3 linked regions of the Schizosaccharomyces pombe genome follow. The gene in region 1 interacts genetically with each later gene. Each region holds a gene or a part of one and is shown in the gene's direction. Other genes may lie near its edges.

Region 1 (3,683 bases):
GACGTCATAAATCTTGTGAAGTGGTTTTAAACGGACCTAGAGTTAGCAACTTTCATTTTGAAATCTATCAGGTATATAAAATAATAGTGGCCAGCTGAACTCGTTTAGTTTTAATTGAACTTCAATCTCTTTAAGACATAATTATCTAACGAAATGACCCAGGGGCATAGAAATGATTCCGATGAATCTGAGAATGTCGTTTTTTTACACGGTAAGTCTAAAGGATTAAAAAATCTTTTAAAGTCTTCTGCCTCTTCCACCTTTTCTAACAATTTCAGACCACTCTTCTAATGGAACATTTCTGAATTTTGTAAGCGAGAGCTTAATTCGTTTACAATTTACTGACGTCATTTAGGAACGGCTTGCCAAGAATAGTAGAACTATCTTGTCAAACGGAGATGAAATTCGAATTGGCCTAGGTGTGCCGAAAGATGAAATTTGTACGTCCTTTACACTGAAGGAGATTGTTGACGTAGAATTCACTTCAAGTTTGCTTACAGTCTTATAGCTTTTTTGTGCCAGGTACCAGTTAAACATTCACGAGATTCCCAGAAAAACATGATTAAATCCGAGAACAGTCATTACGAAATTATTCGTACACTTGGAAGTGGTACATTTGCAGTTGTCAAGCTAGCGGTAGAAGTGAATAGTGGCAAGTGGTATGCTATTAAAATTATCAACAAACGAAAAATCCTTTTGACAAGTTCGGAAAAGCGAGCTACTGAAATGTTTCAACGAGAAATTGATATATTAAAATCTTTGCACCATGTGAGTATCATTTTATGTTCACCTTTTTTTATACGAAAAACTCCTAGCTAACACTTATCTTTTAGCCAGGAGTTGTACAATGCCATGAAATTTTTGAAAATGATGACGAGTTATTTATTGTTATGGAATATGTTGAGGGTGGGGATCTTATGGATTTTTTAATTGCTAATGGCTCCATCGACGAACAAGACTGTAAACCTCTTCTCAAACAACTTTTAGAAACGCTTTTACATTTGCACAAGCAGGGTGTGACACATAGAGACATAAAACCCGAGGTATATCTTGTTTATTGATAAGAAAGTCTAACTTGTAGAACATTCTTATAACAAATGATTTCCATCTTAAAATATCTGATTTTGGCTTGGCTAAAGTTATTCATGGGACGGGAACCTTTTTAGAAACATTTTGCGGGACAATGGGTTATCTAGCACCGGAAGTTTTGAAGTCAAAAAACGTCAACTTGGACGGAGGTTATGATGATAAAGTTGATATATGGAGTTTGGGATGTGTTTTATATGTGATGTAAGTTTGTCGGCTTTAATCAATTAGCAATGAACCTTCATGCCTTAATTTTTTCCAATTACTAATTCACAGGCTTACTGCGTCTATTCCTTTTGCATCTTCGTCACAAGCAAAATGTATTGAGTTGATATCAAAAGGTGCATATCCGATAGAGCCTTTATTAGAAAACGAAATTTCAGAAGAGGGAATCGATTTAATCAACAGGATGCTTGAAATTAATCCAGAGAAAAGAATATCTGAAAGTGAAGCTCTCCAGCATCCTTGGTTTTACACTGTGAGCACACACGAACATCGTACTCCACCATCATCGTCTGAACATGAGGCCACCGAACAGCTCAATTCTTCGAGTTAGATTATTAATATTTAGTATTCTAAATGATAATTAATTTTTATACTTAGACCGTCAAATTTATAATATTGTAAATAGACAGTAAGTTTACACTAACCACTCTGTCCACGTACTACTATCCCTTTGGACGTCTCGACGCGATCTTTGCCATGTGTGCTTCAGTTACAGAATCGCTTGTATGTTAATGATTTATAAAAACTAGAGCATAAAATACTAAAACTTTCTTTTTTCTTTTTAGCCAAAGTTTCCCGAATTGAAAACTCGAGATTTACAAGGGCAACAGGGACCTATACGTTCCCTAGGCTGGAATCTTTCCGGCTCGAGACTTGCGAGTTCTTCATCTTCAGGATCAGTACTTGTTTGGAATTCAGATCGTTTGGATTTTAAATTTACTACTGAATTAGGGAACAGAGGATATGGTCTTGTCGAACAACTAGTATGGGATCCTACGCATTCTGATCGGTTAATGGCTGTGTATGCTGGGAAAATGATCCGTTTCTGGGACTTTAGAAGTATGCAATGAAGTCTTTGACTGTTTGTTAACTATTTATTCAGGCGCCAAACCTATCGCTGAAATAGAAAGCAACTATGAGAATATTTATGCAACCTGGAGTCCAAGTGGAAATTACTGCTGTGCTAGTAGTCGGGTACGAGAATATTTTAAGTTTTTATAACGCACGATTGCTAATTGAATGCTAGGATGATATGTTGTCTTTTATTGATGCTCGGGAAAGAAGAATAATGGAGACATTCCAACAACCTTGTGAGGTTTGTTTTTAAACCAATAATAACTTTGCTTACGATTAATAGACAAATGAATGCTGTTGGTCATTCAGTGAAGATTTGTTTTTCATGACTACAGGACTTGGCACGGTGCAAATTATGGAATGGCCTTCTCTAAAAAGAGTTTACGATATAAAGGCGCATAACTCAAATTGTTTCTGTATTGAATTCAGTCCGGATAACAGGCACCTTGCCATTGGTGGTGCAGATGCAATTACTAGTTTATGGGATCCACAAGAACTGATTTGTGAACGGTCGATTACTAGAATGGAGTATGTAGTTTCTTTTAAATTTTTTGGTCGCTAACTTCTAAAAAGTTATCCCATCCGTACATTAAGCTTTAGTTATGACAGTCGCTATTTAGCTAGTGGATCAGAGGACCGCTATGTGGATATCGTAAGTATTTCAGGATGTTTGAAACCGTTTCTTATTTTTATTCTTTTTAATAAACTAACTTGGAAGGCTGATACGAAAACTGGTGATCAAATTTGGAAAATTCCAACTAATGGACCTCTGAACAAGGTAGCTTGGCATCCAACAAAACATATTTTAGCATATGCTGTATCGGAGCCTAATTCTAGTGGTCTTAAGATATTTGGGCTATAAATGATTGAAAATTGGCAATCTTGTTCACGCTGATCAACAATAAAAAAACGGCTACTTAGTATTTACCCTATACTCTTAGCATGGATACCTTCAATATTCATTGAAGTTGTAGTTTTAGCTTATTTGGTACCAAAAGTTTTGAAGAATGGAAGAGAAAAATACTGTTTCTTTATCTAAGCATATTGAACGTCCAGTAGAAGTTGTTGAAAGTCATTCTACGTACATTTTAAGTGCACAAGGACTTTATCTTACAGAACGCGTTTTAAGAAGTTATTTTAAACAACCTGATCTAATTATTACTTGGAAGGATAGTATGAGAGCTTACCTGACATTTTCTTCGCCGCAGGAAGCTCAAAAGGCTTACTTAGATTCACTTCGTTGGGGCAGTCAACTGAATGCTATCATTAAACCATTCTACGGTTCGCACGATGAGGTACTTCGTTTATGTAAAAGGAAAAGAATTATTCCACTACAAAATTTCTTGACTTCAGGTTAAACAGATAAATTAGAACACAGCTTAAACTTACCGGAAAAATTAATCGCAATCCAACAACTTTTCGGACAGCCGAGTGTTTTATAAAATTTCGTTTGGCTAAAAACCTAATTTTAATCTTTTATTAACCCAACTGGTTTAAAATTGCAACTGTTAGTTGGC
Region 2 (4,039 bases), on another chromosome or scaffold:
AGGGAAGAAAAGTCGGCCTGGCTGTTCGAAGAGGATGGCGGGTATGAAAACAGTGGTTTCGCGTTGAATACTTTGGGAGAATTAGAATTTCGTAGCAATTCACTTAGATCGTGTGTGTATTAATATTTTGTTAAGCAAATTTTCTCATGTTGAACCCAGAAATGTAGCAGAAAACAGAACCTTGGTTGGTTGTTGTTGGTAGAGGGTAAAGTTATCCGCCCCCCCTGAGGAGTTCTTTTTAGTGCTGATGTTCCTTTGATTGCGATAGAGAATTTAACGAAATTTAGTGGAATATAGCACAATTATGTCGAGATAGTAGATGAGTTGGTAAGGAAGATTCGTGATCAATTTATCCCGTTCTGACTTCTTCTTCCTTATTCTATGATAACGTGACTGTGTAGTGCATTATTTCTCCTTAAACTTGTGCGTGATAAATAAATAAATATAAAATAGAACAAGTCGTATATACTAATTTATAGACACATATGCTATCGTCTACAATCTATTTTCATTTTTACTAATTGTTTTAATTATTTTTTCTCATCTTATTGAATTCTTTTCTCGTTTCTATCTTCGTTTCACCGATCGTTTTAGATGCACAAGTAACCACTGTTAACTAGAATAGCAAAGTAGATAGATGAACGATGGAAAATGTTCGATAATGAGAAAGATATAAGCCTCGAATATGAACTAATTATTTCGTACATTTTAATGAAATGATCTTAAAATTGCCTAACAATTTGCTTTTTGTTTGATCATTATGTTGCTTGGTTTAAGGAAGCTGCCATAGCAATTAAATATCAAGAGATATATAGGCCCTTGAATAGAAGTACGAGATTGGAAGGGATCATAGAAGCTTCCTTTGAGTTAAAACTCTGATTTATTAATTTTCTCCGCTTCGGTATGTGAATCGTCAACGGTGTCTAGAAGGTAATCAATGGTAGACTGCTACCGGATAAATAAATAGTGAAGTATCTGTAGTATTGGTTCTACAATTCGCATATGAAACGAAATATACCGTTACTTGATGCTTTATTATTATTTGTTTTATTCTAGTATTAGTTAAGCTGGGAACGGCTTGCTGTGGTTGATAGATAAACATTGTTGGGAAATTTCCATTTTATTAAATTATTAGTATCCCCAGGCAAAAAAAAAAAAAAATTGGTTTATTTAGACTTGGACTCTTTTTACATTTAAAGCGTAGAAACAAAAGAAGAAGAAAAAAACAATTAATATAAACGATAGCATTACGTTAGATGGGTTGCTGAACAAAAAAAAAAAAACACAAAAAACTACAAAATAAAGTAAAAAAAGAAATAATGGTAAAAATCAGAAAAAATAAATTAATTTATATAAAAATACGGAATATTATTAAAGAAATCAATTAAAAAACAGGAAGTTATTTTAAATAGACTTCCATTCAAAAATATCCCTTTTCTATATTTTTGTAATTCATCACCCTTGGCTATCGAGCTAATGAAGATAATACCAACCCTGGATACGTATATCAATGGTGAAGAGTGTGTAATAATTGAGTTCGAAGTTCCATGAAAGAACTACATTATGCCATACTTTATCACGTCTTATCGTATTTCTTTAGGATTCCACTTATTTCACTTCAAGTGGGAGAGCTCTTCAAGCAACTTAGGTATTCGTTACGTCCAAAAACTAAACATTTAACGGCATATCCCGTCAATCTCCTTAATTGTTTTTTAAAGATCGCTTTCTTATGAATTGTGATTTTAGCAATACAATAAAACCAAACACGCCATACAAAAATGTCCACAAACCTCACCTTACTTACTTGTGAGCACTCTCATCTTAACCAAGCATCCGAACTATAAGCAGGCAGTCCAAATCCTCGTTAAACACATATTGTACGTATTAACGAATACGAAAATATTACACCATATTGTGCTGTTTCATTCAGAAATCGGTTTTTCCGTCTCTAATCGTGCCATACGCTATTGTAAATTTGCGCGAAACAAAGCGTCGCTACTCTGAGAGCATAGAGGGAAACTTTTGTCACCCTCAACATGCTAAAGAATACTGGTTGAACAGTTTACTTCCAACCACACGCGTGTAGCAGAAAATTTGAAAAAATGAGTGATCAAGATGCCTTAGATACCCAAGAAAAGGTAGGAATTCAGACTGTGTAGTATGGTGGAATTATTTGCTTACATGATTAGGAACTATTGGAAATGAAAGAGCGAGTTGCTGAAATGGAAGCAGAGGCTGCAAAGCTTCGTGCCATGCAAGAACAACTAGATAATGAAACGGAAGCTTTGAGAAACGATAAGGAATCCATTGATGCTCAAAGTGTCTATGTTGGAAATGTTGATTACAGTGTTACTCCAGAGGAGTTGCAAAGTCATTTTGCTAGTTGTGGATCTGTTAATCGCGTTACCATTTTGTGTGACAAGTTTACGGGACATCCAAAAGGGTATGAATCGAACTTGTGGATGACGTTGGAATGTACAGCTAACCTAGTTTCGTAGATTTGCATACATCGAGTTCAGTGAACCAAGCTTAGTGCCTAATGCTCTTTTATTAAATGGATCGATGTTGCATGAACGACCTTTAAAGGTATGTAAAACAATCACAGTAACTACCAGCAACATGCATTCTAACTTGAAATGTAGGTTACACCCAAGCGGACAAACGTTCCTGGTATGAGCCGTGGTCGTGGTCGCGGACGTGGACGTGGACGGGGTCGTGGCAGAGGAGGATATCGTGGAAGAGCCCGTGGTTTCGCTCCGTATTAGGTAATCGCTTTGATGACTTGAAAAAGTGAAAAATGAATTATGAGCATTCAAATCGTCACCAATAACAGTTAGGTGGGAAAAGATTAGAAATGACATTTAACAGTATGTTGGAAATTAACTAGTATTTCTTTCAACTCATTCGTTAAATGTTTATATTCCTTGTTTATTCTTTTGTGTTGGATTACACGGGTTTCCTTTAAAGTCATGATCCCATTCACTATATTAAAACATATATGCTGACATAATGTAATTCACCGACCCTTCAATTCCTCTTGGGTATGGACTAGTTGATTGCATTTTTGTGTTTACAATGCCAGCTTCATAAAATTTTGTTGTATATTGTCGTTTTTATGCTTCTGATGCACGTTCATAATCTTCAAAATTTTCTTTTTTTTGTTTTTGAAAATTTATTTGCTCAGCTTAATTTCTCGTCATAATCTTGATCCGCTTGATTAGAAAAGGGGTCAGAAAAGGAAGCTACTCTATACACCGTATCACATATTACAGTCATCTCCTTCCTTTCTTGATTAATAAAACTAAACACCTACCAATGTATAATTTCATTATATATATATTTTTGTAATGAGGAGATACTTCTCTGTGTTCACCATTACATTTTGTGTTTAATATAGTGAAACACATTAACGTTCTTCTCTTCTCCTTTGGAGAGTTTAATGCTGAGGATCTTCTTATATTTCTAATAAATTTCTTGATTCTGTTTAATGATTTTATATAGAAAATGTATGACTTTCTTTTCTAAGTCTACAAGTTCATTTTTATATGTAATAATTGTGAGGAAATTAATTTTTAGTCATCATGATGTAAAATGACATTTAACAAAAAAAGCTTGGTGTATATCTAATTAAGTAGTTTTTACATAGTCGATTTTTATGTTCATATATTGTACATGTCGAGTCAATTTCTTTTAGCTACCTGCGGCATATTCCGGATTCCAGTACAAATAATTTCCTTCCTGCCTTTTACCCAACTCGTATAGGGAAGCGATAAATAAAAGTAACAAGGATAATCAAGTCAGTCGTTTCTACGCTGTGCCACTCAGATTCGATGACCTTTGTTTACTCTTTCGATTTGCCAAATATTAGCTGAGCGGATATTCGCTGAACTTGCGAGTTACACCTATTGATCCACTATTTAGCCAACCAACAGGTATTTACACTAGGATATTCCAGAGAGCATTCGAGCATTCGAGCATTCGTCTGTCGATTTATAAAAAGAGCCAATTTAGATCGTATATCGGTTTACTACTTCTACAA
Region 3 (4,001 bases), on another chromosome or scaffold:
CATTTATTTATCGCGACGGGCTTCGGGTGCCGCAGGAGGTGGTCAAGGTGGCATTTTTGGAATTGGTAAGAGCCGAGCGAAGATGTTTAATCATGAAACTGATATCAAAATAAAATTTGCTGATGTCGCTGGCGTTGACGAGGCTAAAGAAGAGATTATGGAATTCGTCAAATTTTTAAAAAATCCCAAGTTTTATGAAAGGTTGGGGGCTAAAATTCCTCGTGGTGCCATTCTTTCTGGTCCTCCTGGTACCGGTAAAACTCTTCTTGCTAAAGCCACCGCTGGTGAAGCTAACGTCCCTTTTTTAAGTGTGTCAGGTTCTGAGTTTCTTGAAATGTTTGTTGGTGTTGGACCTTCCCGCGTAAGAGATCTTTTTGCTACTGCTCGCAAGAACGCTCCTTGTATTATTTTCATAGATGAAATTGATGCAATTGGTAAAGCAAGAGGACGTGGAGGACAATTTGGTTCCAATGATGAACGCGAAAGCACTCTTAATCAGCTATTAGTTGAAATGGACGGTTTTACGTCTAGCGAACATATCGTCGTATTCGCTGGTACTAATCGACCAGACGTATTGGACCCGGCACTTCTACGTCCTGGTCGATTCGATCGTCAAATTACGATTGATCGTCCTGATATTGGCGGTCGTGAACAAATATTTAAGGTCCACCTTAAGCATATTAAGGCAGCCGATAACATCGACTTAATTGCCAAGCGTCTTGCCGTCCTAACTTCTGGTTTTACAGGAGCTGATATAATGAATGTATGTAATGAAGGAGCGTTAATTGCAGCACGATCAAATAGTAATGAAGTCCAAATGGTACATTTTGAGCAAGCTATTGAAAGAGTCACGGCAGGTTTGGAAAAGAAGAGTAGGGTACTAAGTCCTGAAGAAAAAAACACCGTTGCTCATCATGAAGCTGGACATGCGGTAGCTGGTTGGTTTATGGAGTACGTCGATCCACTATTGAAGGTCTCAATCATTCCTAGAGCTCAAGCCCTTGGCTATGCTAGTTATTTACCCAAAGATCAGTATCTGATGAGTCGAGGGCAGATTTTAGATCAAATGGGAATGGCTTTGGCTGGGCGTGTTTCTGAAGAAATATTTTTTGGACCAGAAAAGATTACTTCGGGAGCTTCCGATGATTTTCAAAAAGTAACGCGCATGGCTCAAGCGTATGTGACCCAATATGGTATGTCTCCGACTGTTGGTACTATAGCTTATCCCATCGACACTCGGGAAACTGTTCAAAAACCATTTTCTGAGGCTACAGCTCAAATGATTGATGAAGAAATTCGAAAGCTTGTAAAGCATGCATACGAAAGAACTAAGAAACTTTTGCTAGAACATAAGCAAGGCTTAGAAAATATTGCTCAACGTCTATTACAGAAAGAAGTCATCACTTATAACGAAGTTGAGACGATTCTTGGACCAAGGCCATATGCATACAAACATTTAAATATTTCTGAACTTATGCGTCAGTCTGAGTATAAAAATGATCACGATCCTCGAAATCCACCAATCCCCCCATCTCCTCAACAACCTTCTGCCTAATTTGTCAATTTACTGAATTTAAATAAAGCGTTATGAATGAAAATAGTTACTTTCATGGATCTCATGATCAAAGTATTTGTCAATTGAATATCATATAGCTATTTTATCTATTTTTTCTATTTAATATTACAGAAGCTAGATAAATATACTTAACATCAATTCTTCTGAACTTTAAAAGGTTAATAGATTATTATTTTCTAACACAAAATAGCTAATATCGTAACAAACAAACTTGTGTTTAGTTTCGACCTTTAGACCAGCATGTCATAGGGAGCGTGATACTCAACAGTTACACGTTTGACACTAACCACTGTACTTTCTTACAAGTCCATATTTTATGATGGATCTGATTATTTCAACAATTTTATTAAGCTTATTTATTCATTTCTTCGATAAATTTGCAAAAAAAAGGACTATTGATGGGGTAATTTAACATATATACTTGTTGTAAAGAAAACTAATAATGTGAAAGGCTTATCGAATTTACGTTAGTGTTTCTAATAATAAAGATTTAAAGAAGAACAAAGAAATTTTAGAGCAGCTGCTTACTGTTAAGAAAGAGCTAAACGCTACTAGCAGTCAAGATCAGTTTGCTAAATGGGCCCGTCTGAATAGAAAGTATGAACAACTCAGTCAAGAGTGGGAAAAACAATCAGCCAATGTTAAAATTTTCCAAGATACTTTCAAGCGGGTTTTAAGCCTTTTTCTTTGGATTTTAACCCGTGGATTCCGGTTTTATATTCAATTCAAAGAGTCCAAAACACCTGTCTTTTTCCTCCCTGCATTCTTGCTTCCTTCTTGGGCTCTATGGGTGCTATCTCTTCCACGATCAATCTACGGTATGTTGTTTTTAATGAAAATTCTGAAAATCTTTTTTTTATTTTTATTTTCATTTATCACAATGGCAGCTGAAATACTAACATGGCATGTAGGATCGGTTAGCTTAACAGTTTGGAATTTTGCGGTTCAAAAAACTATTTCCGGGATATTTTGATCTCCAAATCATCAAAGACGGTGACTAATTTTAATATTTTATCATTTAGTTTAATTAACTAAAGGGAAAAAGATGCCATATGTATTTTCAGTAAAGTCATTTTATAAATGCGTTTTCTACTTCCTTTTCTCATAAGAAAGAATGCCATGGAAAGCATAGTTTACCATGCACGATTAATATTATGTTATTCCTTCACAAATTGTACACTTTATGTGCTCTACACTGGTTTTCATCTAAATTGTCATCGGATTTCTTATTTCTATGCCTACTAATTCATTTGCTTAATTTGACGCTTTCATATTTCTGATGCTGTTTATACCGAAAGTTTGAAATGGCAAATAGGTTATTTATTACACAGGACATCTAGAAAGGGAACGATGCAGGGTTTTGGAAAACATCATAAAGTTACTACAATGTTAATTAAGAAGGGCACAAAATTATGATTAAAATTTAAGCTGAACTTCGATCTTACCTTTTCCTTTTATGCAACATTTCCAACCGTTGTATGTTGTTTTTTTAATCTTCAAAATTTTCAGTACAAAGATAAATTGTTTCTTGCATTGATTTTTCGAGTAAATTAAGTTCATGATAAAAAATTTGTAAGACTAAACGAGACCTATTCTCTCGTTTAAGAGTCGGATCGCACAATAGAGTCTTATAAGCTTCAGCAGTCAACCCACCATTTTTGAAACGACTAATGCGCTTTTGACACAGCATCTGTAGAAATTCTATAGCCTTACAATAAAAAGAAAAACCAGAGAGTTGAGCAACAACCTTTTCTTTTTCTCCCTCCTTATGTGCTATAAACACAGCCCAGATTTCATTAAAATACTTTGTAAGCATTACTATATTCATATCGCACTTTTGGAATTTGATTTTGTAAATGCAAAAAAATAAATATAAGTAAAGCCCGTAACTGGGACCATGATCTGTTATTATATAAAGATCCATAGGTTGTCTTATCATTACTGAACGTAAAGTCTCAGACTTGTCATTTGCGTATGTAGTTGGGGTGACCAGCAACTCCTGGGTGTTGATTATTCTTTTTTTATGAATCCACTCCATATAAAAATTTCTGTTAGTTTCATAAGCAATCATTGTCATGTCGACGCGCCAAACTTTGCAAGCGGTATCAATAAATCCATACTGCGTGAACAATTCATCAGCGGCAAAGTTTCCGAAGGAGTTGAATATTTCGGACATCTTTCGTATATACTGAAAAGAAATAAATTCTATTTTGATATCGCCTTTATGATCATTTGACTCCTGACAATGTAGCGAAGCAATAGCTGGACCAGACTTGTGATTAAAAATATCGAAAAAGGGTATTAAAGATAAACCGTAGTAGCTGTTAACGTAAAAACACCTGCTTTGGACGAGAACACAAGTCTCTAAATACTGATTCCATTTTGGACAAAGCTGTTTGAGATCAGCATGTTTATAAAAGTAAGG

What was found.
Region 2: mutations in tho3 (region 1) and pab2 together harm fitness more than expected from each alone (negative genetic interaction), as found in Schizosaccharomyces pombe (2 studies listed by BioGRID).
Region 3: mutations in tho3 (region 1) and get1 together harm fitness more than expected from each alone (negative genetic interaction), as found in Schizosaccharomyces pombe (2 studies listed by BioGRID).

The regions. Positions count from the first base shown.
Region 1 is NC_003421.2:737,361-741,043, reverse strand, and holds tho3 (THO complex subunit Tho3), read left to right. Parts: upstream 1-1,764; 5' UTR 1,765-1,788; coding exon 1,789-1,815; exon of another isoform or gene 1,816-1,877; coding exon 1,878-2,151; exon of another isoform or gene 2,152-2,194; coding exon 2,195-2,286; exon of another isoform or gene 2,287-2,338; coding exon 2,339-2,407; intron 2,408-2,449; coding exon 2,450-2,694; exon of another isoform or gene 2,695-2,739; coding exon 2,740-2,818; exon of another isoform or gene 2,819-2,884; coding exon 2,885-3,028; downstream 3,029-3,683. Other genes in the region: replication checkpoint kinase cds1, read left to right, coding at 1-71, 163-211, 279-310, 356-440, 509-768, 834-1,043, 1,082-1,290, 1,363-1,642; protein Thc1, read left to right, coding at 3,174-3,524. UniProt on the Schizosaccharomyces pombe protein: Component of the TREX complex, which operates in coupling transcription elongation to mRNA export.
Region 2 is NC_003423.3:1,938,820-1,942,858, reverse strand, and holds pab2 (poly(A)-binding protein Pab2), read left to right. Parts: upstream 1-2,070; 5' UTR 2,071-2,102; coding exon 2,103-2,138; exon of another isoform or gene 2,139-2,189; coding exon 2,190-2,443; exon of another isoform or gene 2,444-2,498; coding exon 2,499-2,586; exon of another isoform or gene 2,587-2,642; coding exon 2,643-2,765; 3' UTR 2,766-3,488; downstream 3,489-4,039.
Region 3 is NC_003423.3:4,317,055-4,321,055, forward strand, and holds get1 (GET complex subunit Get1), read left to right. Parts: upstream 1-1,854; 5' UTR 1,855-1,892; coding exon 1,893-1,979; intron 1,980-2,027; coding exon 2,028-2,394; exon of another isoform or gene 2,395-2,487; coding exon 2,488-2,549; 3' UTR 2,550-3,065; downstream 3,066-4,001. Other genes in the region: m-AAA protease Yta12, read left to right, coding at 1-1,555; SPOM_SPBC16C6.01C (lysine methyltransferase), read right to left, coding at 3,066-4,001.